Rhinolophus ferrumequinum: one gene and its partner. The protein of the gene in region 2 purifies or fractionates together with the protein of the main gene of each other region. This does not show direct contact. Links are inferred from orthologs where the notes say so. Each region holds a gene or a part of one and is shown on either strand. Other genes may lie near its edges.

Region 1 (7,990 bases), on a different chromosome or scaffold from region 2:
TCCCTCGCTCGCTCACTTCTCCTTGAGCTCCGAGAACTGCTTCTCTAGGTCCAGCATCTCGTTGAGGCACTCGCTGCGGCGCCGCTCGTAGTCCTCCTCGTCCATCTCTGGGATAAGAGGCCAGTCAGGGCCAGCGGGGGAGTGGGAGGGCACCGGTGTGTGCGCGCGTATGCGTGCGCATTGCGGGTGGGGGGGGCTCACCTGAGCTCTCCTCCTCGGACTCCGTCTGGCTGCCGCTCCGCTCCTCCTCACTCTCTTCTTCCTCCCCATTCATCTCGGCAGCTGAATCACCCTCTGCTTCCATCTCTTCTGTGTCTTTGCTGGGAGGCTGGATCGGCATCTGGACCCTGGAAGGAGTGGAGCCATCACTCACCTCTGCCCACAGCTCCAAGCAGGAAAGTGGTCACTAGGAGTCACACCAAGCCTTGGACAGCGGGGGAAGGAACTGGATTTGCCACACCCCGAGCACACAGTGGGTGCGGAGGGTGCACGTGGCCGTCTGCACAGCTCCCAGAAGCCACGGAAATGCTCGTGCCCTGGGACCCTGGGGATGATCCCAATCCTGGGAATATTGGCCAAGGTGATGATCCATAAGGTGGGAAAGGCCAAGGGTGGGCTCCCCCTGCCTATGCGCCTGGGCCCAGACTTCTGACTGGGCCAGCTCCTTCACCTTGCCGTCTACTGGCCAATTCTCGAATACACCAGGCACTTGCCCCCAGGCCCCTCATGCTATTCCCTCTGCCTATAATGCCCTCCACTTCTCATCCTGAGAACACTCTACAACCTCTTGTCTTCTCTGAGTCCAGTCCCATCTCCTTCTGCTTCCTCTGCGATCTCCTATCAGCGGTGCTCCCCTCTTAGACATGCTCAGGTATGTTCCACCATTCAGGAACAACAGAAACACAAAACCTCACCCGATTCCATTGAACTGCTCCCCGTTTCCACCTCACAGCTACACTTTTCCAGGCCTGTGTACACTTGTTCTTCCTACTGTCACCTCCCGCTTGTTCCCATTTGTTTCTGTATCATCACTCTCAGCCAAAACTAATCCTATAGAATAAACCGACGACCTCCCTGTGCCTGAAGCCAGTATTTTTCAGTGCTTATCACAGCTGACATCTCAGCAACCCTGAACACTGTTAAATATTGCTTCCTTTCTTCACTCATCTCACGTCATTGGAATTCTAATTATGCTAGGTACCATCAGACACAATGGTAGGTGCTGGTCACAGTGGCGAGACAGACATACACGGTCTCTGACCTCAAGTGGTTTACAAGTTCCTGGGAGAAAAAGGCAAAGAAGCAGACCATTAGTGTGGTGTGAGAAGAGTTGAGAGCGGGCTTATGGGAGAGGAATCTAACTGGGGCCTGGAGTTGCTGCAGCTGACTTGCAGAGGAAGATGGGCACACGGATGGGCTGAGCTGGTCAAGGGAGGGAACATTCCAAATAGAGGGAGCAGCATGTGCAAAAACCCCCAAATGAAAGAAGGGGCAAGGTTGGGGGCACATGGGTCTAAGCTTGAGAGACAAGTCTGGGCTGCAGAGATCTGGTCAAGGGCATGTAGCAAGTTCTTCAGGCCCTGAGAGAAGGAGCAACCAGCAAGGCAGAAAGTGTGGAATGAGAAGACATCCATGATGGAACTCCCCGGGTCACCAAAGGGGCAGATGAGACCCCTGCAAAGGAGAAGGAAATTAGCAAGAGGTAGAGGAGGAACAACTCGATTCATGGGGAGAGAGACTTTCATAAGGAAAGAGAGGTGACAGTGCCAAATGCTGCCAAGAGATCTCCTGAGAAGACTCAATAGTCCTCTCAACAGATAACCTGTCTACTGGGGATTCTATTTCATTGTGATGTTTTTGCAACCTCTCTGGGTACTTCTATGTAGTCCTTTACATTGGAATAGAACCCCTCCCTCCAGGAAGCCTTATTTGTTTACATCTCCTCTCTATTTGCCCGTTCTCATGTCTGTGTCCTCAGCTAGTCCCTAAGCCTCACGGGGCAGGGCTGCACATGCGCCTTATTCACCTAGCGCAGTACCGACGCAAGCGATGGCGATGGGGGATTCGCAAATACAAATTAAACAAAACAAACTTTTGTGAGGCAGGCATTGGCTTTTACTTCTTGGTAGCCCCAGGCCCCTTCGGTGGTAGCAAACCCAAAGTGTTCTGTTCACCTTCCTTGACACCAGTTCGAGTTGTGCAAAATAACTGGACTAGAGCATAGTTTAGTCACATTCCTCAATGACTTCACAAATAATATGAACCTAACCTGAAACCTTCGGTTCTCCAAACCAGCCGCATCTTTCCCACTCACAAGCCTCAGTTCCCACAGTTTCCAAATTTTGCAATTCCTCTTCACTGTTAAAGATATTTACTTTCTAAGATGCAACGTAATCGGGACCAGAAAGGGCGGGGGAGAGGGGACGGGAGTCACTCCAGCTGCCTGATTCTACTGAATGAGCTCAATAAAATCACAACCTCCCCTCCTTACCCCAGGCCAAACAGAGAATGGCCATTGCTACTCTGAATGTTATTAAGACTGCAAGGGGTAAGGGATGGAGACGCAAATTTTAAGGCGCTGTACACATGCAGTTTATCTTTTCAGAAAGTGAGCATCTCGAAGGCTGGCCTCCACGGAAGGCAGATTCTTCCCCACCCTCGAAGAGGCCAACCCAGCCCCTCCGCGGCGCGCCCGGAGCCTCCCGCCCGCTCCATCCCCGTATGCGTCCGCGCGGGTAGGAGAATCTCTAGCTCTTCCGCAGGGGGTTTGGGGCCCGCGGCCCTGCACGCTCCCGGCAGGTTAAGTCTCCGCTTCGGCCCTGGAGATGGGGTGGGCTCCGATCCACCCGCCGGAGGCCGAACCAGGCGTCACAGGTGGCGTTACGCACCGCACGGATTGGAGCCTCCGGCCTCACGTCAGAGATTTCCCAACAGGTGTCCGCGGCGACCGGTGCTCACCCCCGCCGTCCGGCTCCCGGAAGCGCGGTGCCGGTCTCTCTTTACTGGGAGGTGGGGCCTATCGGTGCTTCCGTATGCGTCATCAGGGGGCGCCCTTTGGGAAGCTCACACAATTGGACAGCTGGGGACGAGGAATGCTGGGATACCGCGGACCGGTCTCCATAGCAACTAGCCGAAGTTCACACTGGCGCAGTCAGCCCTCCGGAAAAAGACCCTTGTGGTTTTCTTGCTTTGCCGCCGGTGCTCCTCTGTCCGTGGTCACCTCCCCCCACCCTCCCCCGGCGTGAAAGGGTTGAACCCGCGACCCCTCCGCCTGCTCGGTTCAGGAGAGTAACGGAGCCAGCTGTAGGTGTGAACACTCATTTATTTATTTACACATTGTCATTGGTAGGCAAATAACCCAGCCCAGCCTATTGGAGGGTACAGAACCTGCAGACCCTTTCCTTCTCCAGAGGCCCCGAGGGCAGAGGCCTGGGAGAACCAGTAAGTTTAGGCTTCTGTACAAAAGCTAAGAACTAAACTCAACGCCTTTTCTTCTCTGATTTCTTTCCAAAAAGCCCATTTTGTTAAGTACTCAGACTTCTCAGCTCTGTCCCATTCATACTTTTTGCTCTCCTACTGCCTACCCACCCAAGATTGTTAATAATAACAACAATAACAACAATAATACTGTAATAATATTAATACTTCACATTTGTACGAAGCTTACAGAATGTTTTCACATATAGCATCTCATCTGAGCCTCCCAACAGTTCTGAGAGGTAGGTATTCTCACCTCCCTTTTCACAGACGGGGTAATTGAGGCTCAGAGAGGGAACGGGATTTGCTCAAGGCCACACAGCTAGTTAGTGGTAAAGCTAGGACTTGATCCCAGCACCCCATATTCAAGTCCAGTGTTCCAACACCACAGCTACCACTGTAAAGTGGAGTGACATTTCTTACCCCTGTCAGGCCTGGGGGGCGGCCTAAGGAGAGAGGAGGCTGAGACCTCTCAGAGTAGGGTAAGGAAGGGCTCAGCAATGACGGGAGGAGTCGGGATACTTGGCCTTCAACTCCTGTTTGAACTGGCGATAAAGAATCTTATTGTGCTGATTTTCCGCCTCCTTTTGGGGATGGAACTTCAGGGCTTCTTTGAAGCCCTTGTGAACCAGGAAACCTTCATTCAGCACCTCGAAATCAAATCCTGCCACGTGCAGCTCACAGGCCTGTGGGGGTGAGGGGGGAGAGATAGGTCAGCAAAGTGATGACATTCCTAGAGCTGAGACGGACACCCCTAACGCTGACTCCAGCATCCCCACTCCTCTGGAGGCATCCTGGATCTTACACACCCTCCAACCACCTCCTGAACTACGATCCCTCCTGCCTCATTGCCCTCTTCCCACCCAGGGCCACTCATAGCTTCCAGATCCCCACCACCCTTCCTCCCCCATTTCCCCTGCTCTCTCCCTTATGGGTACCTGGCTGATGCGATTGAAGCCGTACTGCCGAAAGCGTTCGTCGAAGGTGGGCACCTTGCCTCCAGCCACGTAGAATGGCTCCCAGGGGTCCTGCCAGGGCACCACGTAGGCAGGCCTCAGCAAGGTCTCTTCTGGCAGGTTGACCCAGCGGGAATAGTTGGTGGTTGCCTGGCAGGGAGTGCACAGCCCATAATAGAAGGGCCGCACCTCCCCCACCTGGTACAGCTGCAGGAGCTCATTCTTGTTTGTGGGCATGCGGCGGGCTCGGCGGATCTCGAAGGCAGGCACCACCAGCGCTGTGCCCGCCCACTGCTTGCTCTGATCCAGCATTTCCCGCAGCCCTCTCCACAGTCCCTCGCTGGGCACCATGTCCACATCGATTACCAGGGCATAGTTGGCCCCCTCACGAGCCAGATTCCTCAGCAGGTTATTGGGATACGATACATTGGTGCCCAGCGCGTAATTGATCCCGGGCTGGGCCACCCTGGCTAGCTTGTCGAAGACCTCCTGGCAGGACCGCAGCAGGGCAAACTCCCCCGGCTCCCGGGGGTCGGGCACGGCGGCCTCATAGCGCGAGGGGCACACAAGGTGCATGGCGACCCTAGCGCGCATATCCGGGCAGTGACTGCTCAGCGCGTAGGTCAGCACCGTGGCCAGCTGCGCCTCTTCTTTGGTGGCGGCGAACACCGATACAGATAGCGGGCCCTCCCAGCGCTCCAACAGGCCCGACAGATGCAGCAGGTTGTCCACGCTGGCGTGCGTGGCCAGGATCACATCATTGGGGTCCATGGTGGTCTTCAGTAGGCCTCTATAGACGCGGTAGTCGCCGCTGGCGTCCAGGACGCCTCCGGAGGCCAGCGCGGTGCGGAGCTGCGCCTTGACCTGGTCCACGGACCTCGGGGAGGGGGGGAAGAACTCGAAGTACTGGTCTTGCTCCTCCTGTCCGTGCATCCCGGACAGCAGCGACAGGTAGAGTAGCTGTAGCATCGCCACCAGCATTAGCGCCGCCAGCAGCAGCTGGTAGAAGGCGCACCGGATGGCGTAGGACATCTGCATGGCTCTCGGGGCTCGGAACACGCAGCAGGGACTACCAGACAGCAGCCTCTGCCAGCCGCTGCAAGCCCGGATTTACCGCAGCCTGCCGAGCTCTGCCGAAGCGAGCCGAGGCGAGCCGAGCCCAGTGCGCAGCCCCGTCCGCCCACGCTGGCCTACCGGCGCTCCAGCTCGCCCCCTGCGCGCCAGGAGGATCTACTGCACTCGCCGCCCGCCGGGCGCGCTTTGCAAAAGCTGGATTCGCCCGCAGCGGCGCCGCCGGGTTCCCAGCCACACACACCCATTCCCTCCCGGTCTGTGCGCGACCCCCTGGACCAAGCGCGTCCTGAAACCACGGCGCGCTCGCCCCGGACTCAGGGAGGGGAAACCGTGGCAGAGCTCGGCTGCAGCTGGGTGAAGGATGACGCGGGTTCCCGGCAGCAGCGGGAGGAAAGGAGCACAAAAGAATGCCCTTTCTTTCCGCGGTCTTTCCTTCCTTTAGGTCCTACAGAAGCTGCACTGAAAAATAGATGTTAAGGACCCAGAAAATATGGAGGAGGTAAGAGATAAGAGAATGTGGAAAGAGCATTTGTACGTGGGACGAGGTGGCCGAGTGGTTAAGGCGATGGACTGCTAATCCATTGTGCTTTGCACGCGTGGGTTCGAATCCCATCCTCGTCGGTCGTGTTTTACACGGGAGATGATTAATAATTCTTAATTTTCCACATCCCTCGGGTCTGGAGTACCAGATTGGGACGCACGATTCGACACAACCCGGATCTCTTTGTTCACCATGCATCTCCCCGCCTGTCAGGCTCTTCATACTCTCGGTACCTGCCCCTTCTGGCCAGGGGGTCAGTGGTGTGCCATTTTCTTTCTCCCTAGAAAAAGGTCCCAGGGTTCGGTGGCAACTAGAAGACCAGAAATGGAATTCTGGCCAATGCCAAATTAGGGGCCAATATATTAAGTAGAGAAGCTGCCCCCCACCCCCACCCCCGTAGCGCCACCCTCCCTGTAGTGGAACTTAAGGGTGGTGGTGGTGGTGGTGGTGGTGGTGTTTGTTCATTTAAATTATTACTCTATCCAGCCCACTGGTTCCCCTCGCCCAACATTTTTCTCAGAGGGGAGATCTTGTATCCACACACCTCCTTCTCCAGCACACACACACAGAACATCTTGAACACCAGCCAACATAAGGCTACATACAATAAGTGTGGAATAATTGATCCATAGACTTTAGAGAGGAGAGGCTGTGGGGAAGGGCAGGTACTTCGACTGCTAAATCAATTACATGTAATAACTGTTCGATCGCTGTGAATCCTTGGAAGGTGGACAGATTGGGGAGGGCCTGGAGTGGCAGGGTAAGGTATTTGTCCACTACTCCACAGGCAGTAGGGAGCCAGGGTTGTTGAGTTGAAGAATGACCAGGAGACCTGTGTTATGCAGCCCCCAGCCACATCACCTACTGAGCACCTGCTAACAGCAGCGGCTGTGTTTGGCACTGGGGATGGGGCCTTGTAGGAGACACAGGTACTGTCCTTTAAGGTTTTTACTGGTGACCTGTGCCAGGAGAGAGGAGAAAGGTATGAGTAGATCTTTTCAGCAGAGGTCTTGTAAACTGGAAACTCAGAAGGCAGATTTGGTACCATTTGGGTTTTCTTTTACTTGTTTAGGGTTTAAAAATAATGATTTAAATCACATTAGTTGTTAACTTTGGTGAATCAGGAGATTTCACATAAAATCCACATTTCCAACTTCTGTTTTAAATTCTGGAAGATCTAGCAATGCCAGGCCTGCATTCCCACAGGGAGACAATTGGCCAGAACATAAGAGTGGCTCTCCCTTTGCAAACAAACAGTCTTCTCTTTGCTGAAGTCTCAACCCTGTCCCTTCCCTGCCTACCCCAGACCTTTGAGCATTTGTGTTTCATCTGCAGTACTTACACAATACTCATTTTCTACCTCTATTGAAGATTTGCTTGGGCATCTGCCCACAACACCCCTCCCTCACCCACTCCAATGCTAGCCACATAGCAGGCATCAATTCATGTTTGTTGATTGAGTAAATCAGAGGCTTCTGAAGTGTCCCCAGGGGACCTGGTCTAAGGGGAGAATGAAAAGCAGTGACTGAGCCTTGGTGAGGTATCAAGGAAACTCACATGGAAGGGGCCAGAGGAAGGCCAAAAGCCTATTACTGTGGGCAGAGAGGCCTGGCGAGGTGAGGGCCTGGCTGTCATGGAATGGGACCTGAGACATTCAAAGACCAGAGTTAAAAACCATTAACAAGGGGTCTGCTTCCTGTACATCTTGCCTGGCCTATGCCTCTCTTCCATCTGGCTGGTCCTGATTTATAGCCTTTTATAATAAACATATAAGTAAAATGTTTCTCTGAGTGCTGTGAGCTGCTCTGGCAAATTAATTGAACCCAAGGAGAGGGTTGCTGGAATCCGGCTTATAGCCAGTCAGTCAGAAGAACAGGTCATAGCCTAGACTTGCGATTGGCCTCTGAATTGGAGGCAGTCTTGTAGGACTGAGTCCTTTACT
Region 2 (7,880 bases):
TATATCTAGCCAAGGAAAGTTTTAAGTTTGGTAGTGATTAAAAACTGCAAATTCTAGTATAAACACTCATAAATATAAAGGTGACATGTTTACAACTTTATCCCCTAAATAATTTTTGTTACTATGCTTAGTAGTGTGTATTTAAAAATATATTCACAAACAATATGAGATTTTCAGATGTACTTAAAAAAAATCCATCTAAATTTAAAGTCTAGAATTCTATTAAGTTAAAAAATATACTTACGCAGAGTTGAAGATTGGACTAATTAACAAAGAAAAAATATTTACACCTTGTAGGACAAGCTGAAAGATTAAAGAACAGTAAAAATTGAAGTAGTGATGTTATTTTGTTGAAAACTTCCAACAGAAATTATGTAATCAGAATGTGGACGGTGATTCAACCCTTGTAAAAACAGCAGAATTCTGTCTATTCAGTAACCTGTAGGCCTACCTCATTCTAGTTTGTTTGTTTGTGGGGGAGTAATGAAGTATTAGGTTGGTGCAAAAGTAATTGCGGTTTAAAAGTTGAAAAACAATTGCAAAAACCGCAATTACTTTTGCACCAACCTAAGAAATGTAACCCTAGAATCTGAGTCTGCTTTCTTTGCTGATCAAAAACAAGTCTATTTTGACTATCCCAAAACAGAAGTCAATGAAATAACTACATACAAATACAATATAGTCTTAATGTGGACAGTATTAAACCAAAAGAATCTGTATTTCTCAAGCCTTTCTCCTACACATGGTCCCTAACATCCCACTTTGAAGATTCTGGATTCATCTTCAGGTTTTAATGTAACCTGTTTGTCTTCCATTTCCAGTGCCGCTTCCATCCCTGCATACCCCTCTCACCATTGCAGCGTCCTAAAATATAGTTATTAATCATTTCATTAAAACATTTAGTCCTACAGACCTCCAACATGTCTATTATGTCTAAAGCAAGTGAAAGGAAGACACTATGAAAAACATACATGCTGTTTTATGACAGAAGAGATGAGCAAAGGAGAAGACAAGCAGGACAGGTAAAGAAGTGACAGTGATAAGCAGTAATGACAAAGGAGGATCATGGGGCAGATTGCACAAAGGGATAGGTATGTAGAGCAGGACATTAGATTTTATAAACTGTATGACTAATGCTATACGTATTTAACAATCGAGTATGAAACGCAGTACCACTGATTTAACAAACTGCTTTGTGTCAGGCACTGTTCTAAGTACTCTAAAAATATTAAATCATTAATCCTAATAATGCCAATGAAATAGATACACAATTTTCATTTTATAGAGGAAGTCACTGAGGCAAAAAGAGTAAGTTACTTGTCCACTGTCACAGTATCAGTATTCAGTTAGGAAAAGAAAAACCACTGGGTATTTCAGAGGCCATGTTATTACCTCTGTTACCGAGGAAATCCTTACAGAAGGGCTGGAGGAGCAAAAGGGGGTGGGGGAGGAATTGTTATCCAGAGGTAACCATAGAAGAGCTACAATCCTAGGATTGGGAGAACAAAAGAAACGGTGTTATTCAACACCCACAAATGCTGTGTTTCTGAGGCTTTGGGAACATAACTGTTGCATGGTTAGAACTATCTGCTTTCCTATTCTTGCTTTGCAAGAAGCCAGCAGACTGCAGCGGAAGCCTCCCCTCCCCCCGCCCCCGAGCCCGAGTAGAGAAGCACCGTGCTGCTGGCTGCTGGAGCCCAAAGAAGAAAAAATGCCTTCCATCCTCTTGCATTTTAATCTCCCATCAGCAGAACCTGAGTGGAGACCAACTGACAAGTGAGTCTGGGAAATATTTTTTTTTAAGATTTCAGTACTCTTGCAATACTCGTACAGAGTTGAGAGAGAGAGAGAGAGAGAGAGAGAGAGAGAGAGGAGCTGAGACAACAGACAAATCACCAGCACAGTCTTAACTAGAAGTGACAGAGTTTAAATCTCAAGCATTCTGGCTCCTGAGTCCGTGCTCTTTACTACAGACAATGCTATGACACTGATATACTGTAACAAGAGTATTCCATACATCTTAAAATTAATATCTGATCATAATGTGGGATGGCATAAAAAATTATAGGAATTGCATTCATTGAATATTCTACAAATATTTAGCAAGTTCCTACTTTGTGGTGGGCACTGTTCTACTGGAGATACAATGATGGGGAAGAAAAATTTTTCTTAAAAATGAGGGACTAGGGCTCTTTTCTCCCTGTTTCAGACTGAGCAAAATTGCCTGGGAAGGATTCCAACTGGCTTACCCTGAGTCATGTGCCCACCCACTGAACCAACACTAGCTGAGTGAGGGACAGGTATTGGGGAAATAACCTAGTAGAAATGCCCACTATAATCCTGAGACAGGGATCTGAGAGCAGGTAGTTAATCAGGAGGATTCAGGAAACACTTGTAGGAAGTGGGGAAGTGAGACAAAGAAGGGAAGGCAGTAAATAAAGGGTGCCTTATCAAGCCAGCTACCACTAGTAATGACTGAAGCATAATCCTACAGGAAAACTCAGGGAAATAGTATGAAATACATGACTCAAAATTATCCCAGGTGAGGGGCAAAAGAGCTGGGGTATCTATAACATCATGTAAGAATTACTGAGATGGAAATTGATAATTCTCAACCATTTCCAAATTGCCCTGACTAACCAGGGCATGCTTGAGAAAAAGCCCTCAAGCAAAGAGATACAGATACTGGCAGCTGGAAATCTGCCTGAGAACAGTGAAGTGGTAAAAGCCACATGGGCAAGGATCTAAGAGGCCCACTATTTATTCATCAGATAAAAATTTCCTTTGCACAGTTATGATTTCCAAAGAAATAATGCCTGTGAAAGTTTTATAAAGTGGAAAGTAAAATATAAAGAATTGTTTAGAAGTTTCTTGAAGGCAGGGAATGTGTATCATGTTTTATAGTTCTCATAGGACCTTACACAGTGCTATGCATATGTCATAGGCTCAAATATTTACTGAGTGAATTTGTCAATTAATACCCGAACATATTGTTTTCTAGGTTTACAAAGGTGGAATTCCTTTTAAACTTCCATTAAAACTCATTTCTGCTAACTTCTGAAAGAATTTTTTATCTGTTTCAAGAACTTTAAATAGCATGGCCTTGTCCTGTTCCTTCTTTGATCGTATTTCTTAAATCTAGACCATTGTAGATAACTGTTAATTGCTTACCCAAGGATCATTCTCTCCTTCCTTCTTACTTTAAAAAATACCTTGATTATAAATAGGGTATTGATAGATTTTTGCTGGTTCAAACCAATCATGAGAATGCTACTCTGAGTAGCATGAGGGAAAGCAAAACCATAGATGCCAACCCTGACATTGCTGAACTACGGAATACCAGGGGCCATTTTCCCTCAGCCTTCTTCTTGTCAGAAAAAATAAACTCCTAATAATACTGTTCAACAGATACTCTGTTCTATGCAACTGGTGATTCATAACTTTAAGTAGCATATTTTTTCCTTTTGCATAGCAACCCCAAGACAAGTCATTACAAAATTGGAGTAAATTATTTAAGATAGTAACTCAGCAGAAAACCGAGACAGAAGTATTTGGCCACACTAATTTTAATCTTTTTGGGTTTTCCTCTAAGGAAAGATCACAGTATTCCCCGCAGCTCTTTACCTGTGCTCTCCCCTTCAATATGCACTTTGATATTTTAGAACATCTAAAGAAGTTCAGTAGGGCTCTATCACCAAGAAAGTTGTAGTGAGATGATGACCTTTCAGATACAAGTTATTTGAAACTCCCTACTATCCCCTAGCCTCTCTTCTGAGAGAGAAGCACAACCCTGAAGTTGGATTGTATCCATCCTGTCCATGTTTTCATTTTTACCATTTAAAAAAATATACCCATAAACAATAGATAGTATTATTCTGTTTTAATACTTTAAGCCAGCATTACCTAATACTAATTTGTCAGCCTTGTGTGTAGTTTTTTTAAAAAAACAGGTAAAATTTATTTTAATGTTATATTTTATTTAACCCAATATATCAAAAAATTAATGAGCTATTCAGTATTCTGGGTTTTTTTAAAAAAAATTTCAGTACTAAGTCTTTGAAACCCCACTAATAGTTTATACTTAGAGCTTATCTCAATTTCAATGCTGAATTTAGATTTCATAAAGTTTGAGTTGAAAAAATAAGATTCAAATATCCACGTTGTTCCAAACATACTTAAAAGTCTTCCAGTAACTGCAATAAGTTTTTAAAATTTAAATTAAGATTAAATGAAGATTCCATTTTTCAGTCACAATAACCGCATTTCAAGTGCTCAATAGCCACATATGGATAGGGGACACGCTACTGGACAGTGCAGGTTGAAAAGATACCACAAAGCATTTACCATCCAACATTTTTTTGACTCCTCAATTTATGGAATATTTTAATTCTTTTGTTTTCCTATGTCATATCCTAGAATGGGAATGAACAGATGGAATGGTTGGATTTGAATTTCAGGGCAGATGACATGTTTACATTTTTTAAAAAAATCATCGATCATTCAATTTACTCAGAAAGTCTAAAAAAACTTTCAAAAAAAACCTACTGCTTTCTATTTTTTTGTTTAAACAATGGGATTGTTAAACAGGGCAGAGCTACTGATAATGACGTGCTGTAACTAGCAAAGGCGCAGCTTTCATATTATCGCTCCCGTCCTTCTATACCCCGCCCTCCACTAGAACGCGCCCGCACTCACGCACAACCATGTACACACATACACATCCATGTACACACACACACACACACACACACACAGAGACTCCGCCCTTCTCCTGGTTCATTTCAGGAGAAATGGAAAAGGTCGGGGGTGGAGGCGAAAGAAGCCCTGTTATAGTCAACTAGTCATTAGCTCCACCTCAGGAAGAGGCAGACTGCGCGCAGGAATAAAACGTGTTCCTTGAAGGAACATGCAAAGATTTACAAACGACCTTCAGCTGAGGCAGTTGTGAGGCTGCCCTGTCCATGTTGAGATTGGGATGGGCGTTTTCCCCGAATCAGGCACTTTTATTAACAATTTGGTGCGTCAGTGAATGGAGTTGCTCTTCAGCCGCAGTGTTAACTGCGGGACCTCCAAAACCCGCAGAACGCCAGCTCACCTGAGTTCTTGGTTTCCAACAAAAGCGTGGTCACACCACAAACTTTTATCGCAGATAGGAAAACGACTCTGAAACTTTCTTTTCCCGGAACCCTCACTCCCCTCCTACCCCGCCCTCTGCGCTATGCGCTCCGCTTCTGGAGGTGAATAACCTCTTCGTCTAGAATGCCAGCTCTGCGAAATCCCAGGTACTAAACACAACCCGACTAACCAACCTCCCGGGATAGAGAAGCTAGAAAACGTAGCAACCCCCATATACAAGCCGCTGTTTTCCCCGAGGTTTTTTTTTGTTTTGTTTTTTTAAAAAGACAACCGTCCCATCGCCGCGCAATGCATACTAGAATAAGTAGTTCCTTCAACCGGCGAGGCCTGAGATCAGTTCCGAGCTCAGGTTAACTCTCCGGAAGAGCACTACAATTCCCATCGCACCCTACGGCAGCATGGAAGGGGCGGGACGGGAGGGCGCGTCGCGCTTGCGCGGGTCGAGAGGCGGTAGAGTAGGAGAGGTTGCGGTCGAACTGCTAAAGCGTCTCCATGTGACAGTGAGCTGGGTCCCAGCTCCAGCCGCCGCCCGACTCTGGTTTCCGACCCCAAGAACTGTCCACTGTCCCGGCACCAGCAGACACCAGCAGGCGGGGGACACTTGGTGTTTGGCTGTGCCGCCTGAGGACTTGGTGTACGGAGTGAATTGTAGCCGCCGGTGCAGGTGCCTGAGGGAGCTCGCTGAGACCCCTGCGTCTCCAGAGAGAGGCGGAGCGGGGATTTCTGTCAGCGCCGGCGCCTCTGAGCGCGGAGTCATGAATGGTTTCACGCCTGAAGAGATGAGCCGTGGCGGGGATGCGGCCGCCGCAGTGGCCGCGGTAGTTGCTGCCGCCGCAGCTGCCGCCGCTTCGGCCGGGAATGGGGCCGGGGCGGGCGCCGGGGCTGAGGTGCCCGGCGCCGGGGCCGTCTCGGCGGCTGGGCCCCCAGGAGCGGCTGGGCCGGGCCCCGGGCAACTGTGCTGTCTGCGGGAAGACGGTGAGCGGTGCGGCCGGGCGGCAGGCAACGCCAGCTTCAGCAAGAGGATCCAGAAGAGCATCTCCCAGAAGAAGGTGAAGATTGAGCTGGATAAGAGTGTAAGTGACGGCGGGACGGCCCTGCCCTGCCCTGCCCATCCCCTAGGGGCTCCGGGAGCGGTGCAGACAGGGGTTGTTGGGCGCGGTGTTCAGGGGTTCCTTCCGCCCCGATCTGGCTGCAGTGCAAACCCCTTGTGGGGTCTCTGGTAGGAAGCAAATAACAAAGTCGCAGCAACTGCGACCACTACCCGCAACAGACACACTTGCACGCTGTGGTTTCTCTCCCCGCCCCCCAACTCCCCACCCCCCGCTGCCGGCGTCGCTCCCGCTCACTGTCTTCCCCCTTCCTCCGTCGCTGAGATCGGGAAACGAAACAAAGGGAACAGGCGCACTGAGTGTCGGGGGTAGTTTAGTTGTAGCCGGGCAGCTCTTTCTGGAATGGAGGCGCCGCCTTTGTTTTGCTGTCCAAGCTGGCGTTTGGCCCAGGGAGTAGTTCCTCTGGTCAAGGGAAAGTGGAATCCTACAAGGACCTGACACCGCAGTCAGGAAGAATCCCGAGTATGGAGTGAGGGAGGCTGAGCTCGCCCCGCGCCTTGCAGGGAGCCGGCGTTGTGAACTGTGGCGGCGGTGTCAGCAGCGAGGGCAGCTGCTCCGAGCGTGGGGAGCACGTAGTCTCGGCGGCTTTGCCATCCGTTTGGCAGCCATCAGGATTTCTTTTTCCCTCCTTTTGCTTGTCTGTTCTTTTGACCGTCTACGAGGCTTTTAGAAACAACCATTGCCACTTTTCAGAGCTCTGTCTGGTGGTAAATGCATAACAAGATGTCAGAACTCGCATACGTCCTGCTTATTTTTAACTTGCACTGAGCTTGGAAGTTAACAGCCTATTAGCTCAGTCCTTAATTGTTTAGTTTTTTTAAGGAGTAACTGTTAGTATATGAAGTCCAGTATTTCAAATGTTACTATACAAGCTCTCAAGACTGTAAATAAAGTTTTTGAAAAGTTGGTGATCCTTTCTGACTGTTTATACAGTCTGCAGTCACGTTCATGAGAAACTTTTCAGTTAAACTTGAGTAATTTCACATTGCTTTGGTTGAGTTAACGGATTACAGATAAATATATTCATTTAATACTCAGAAAAGTTTATAATTTCAAATTTAAATAAGTAGGGTATGAAATCAATAGCTTATTTGTAAAAATGAATAGTTTTGCATCTGGGTTATAATTTGGGTATTGAATTAGAGAGAAAGACTAGGAAGCATATATCATGCTACTAACGTATGCTCTTTAATAGAGAAAATACTATCATAAAGCAACACTGGGCAACCTCATCATTCCCCTTCTTGTTAGAAAAACAGCATGACCTAACTCATCTATTATAGTTCACCTTCACTGCAATTTGATGACAAAATCCAGAGGGTTGGAATTTCTCATTCTCCTTCTCTGCCTCTCTCCCCTTCCTTACTGCCACCCCTCCCCACCCCACTTCCCAGTCCTCTTAACAACATTGCTAGACATGGTATGTTTTAACTGGGTACAGGACTTTCAAAAGAAACATGCCCTTGTCTTAACAGTGGCCTATTTTGATTGTTTTTATATTTAATAATTCACTGGTGGCCTCTGTATTTTATTAATATGTAGACATTTTACTGTAGTCATAGGTAGTCTGTGAAATTTTTCTGTTTCAGGTAAGGCATCTTTACATTTGTGATTATCATAAAAACTTAATTCAGA

What was found. Proteins that work in one complex are often made in the same cells at the same time.
Region 1: the proteins of SAP30 (region 2) and BRMS1 purify together in Homo sapiens (affinity purification with mass spectrometry; 3 studies listed by BioGRID and IntAct, with this or other methods). This does not show direct contact. The link is inferred for Rhinolophus ferrumequinum from reciprocal best matches to the Homo sapiens genes SAP30 and BRMS1.

Annotation. Positions count from the first base shown.
Region 1 is NC_046294.1:5,585,653-5,593,642, reverse strand, and holds the start of BRMS1 (breast cancer metastasis-suppressor 1), read right to left. Parts: upstream 3,039-7,990; 5' UTR 2,889-3,038; intron 364-2,888; exon of another isoform or gene 348-363; 5' UTR 341-347; coding exon 202-340; intron 108-201; coding exon 17-107; intron 1-16. Other genes in the region: B4GAT1 (beta-1,4-glucuronyltransferase 1), read right to left, coding at 3,972-4,163, 4,416-5,471. UniProt on the Homo sapiens protein: Transcriptional repressor. Down-regulates transcription activation by NF-kappa-B by promoting the deacetylation of RELA at 'Lys-310'. Promotes HDAC1 binding to promoter regions.
Region 2 is NC_046301.1:33,241,661-33,249,540, reverse strand, and holds the start of SAP30 (histone deacetylase complex subunit SAP30), read left to right. Parts: upstream 1-4,794; 5' UTR 4,795-5,534; coding exon 5,535-6,209; intron 6,210-7,834; coding exon 7,835-7,880. UniProt on the Homo sapiens protein: Involved in the functional recruitment of the Sin3-histone deacetylase complex (HDAC) to a specific subset of N-CoR corepressor complexes. Capable of transcription repression by N-CoR.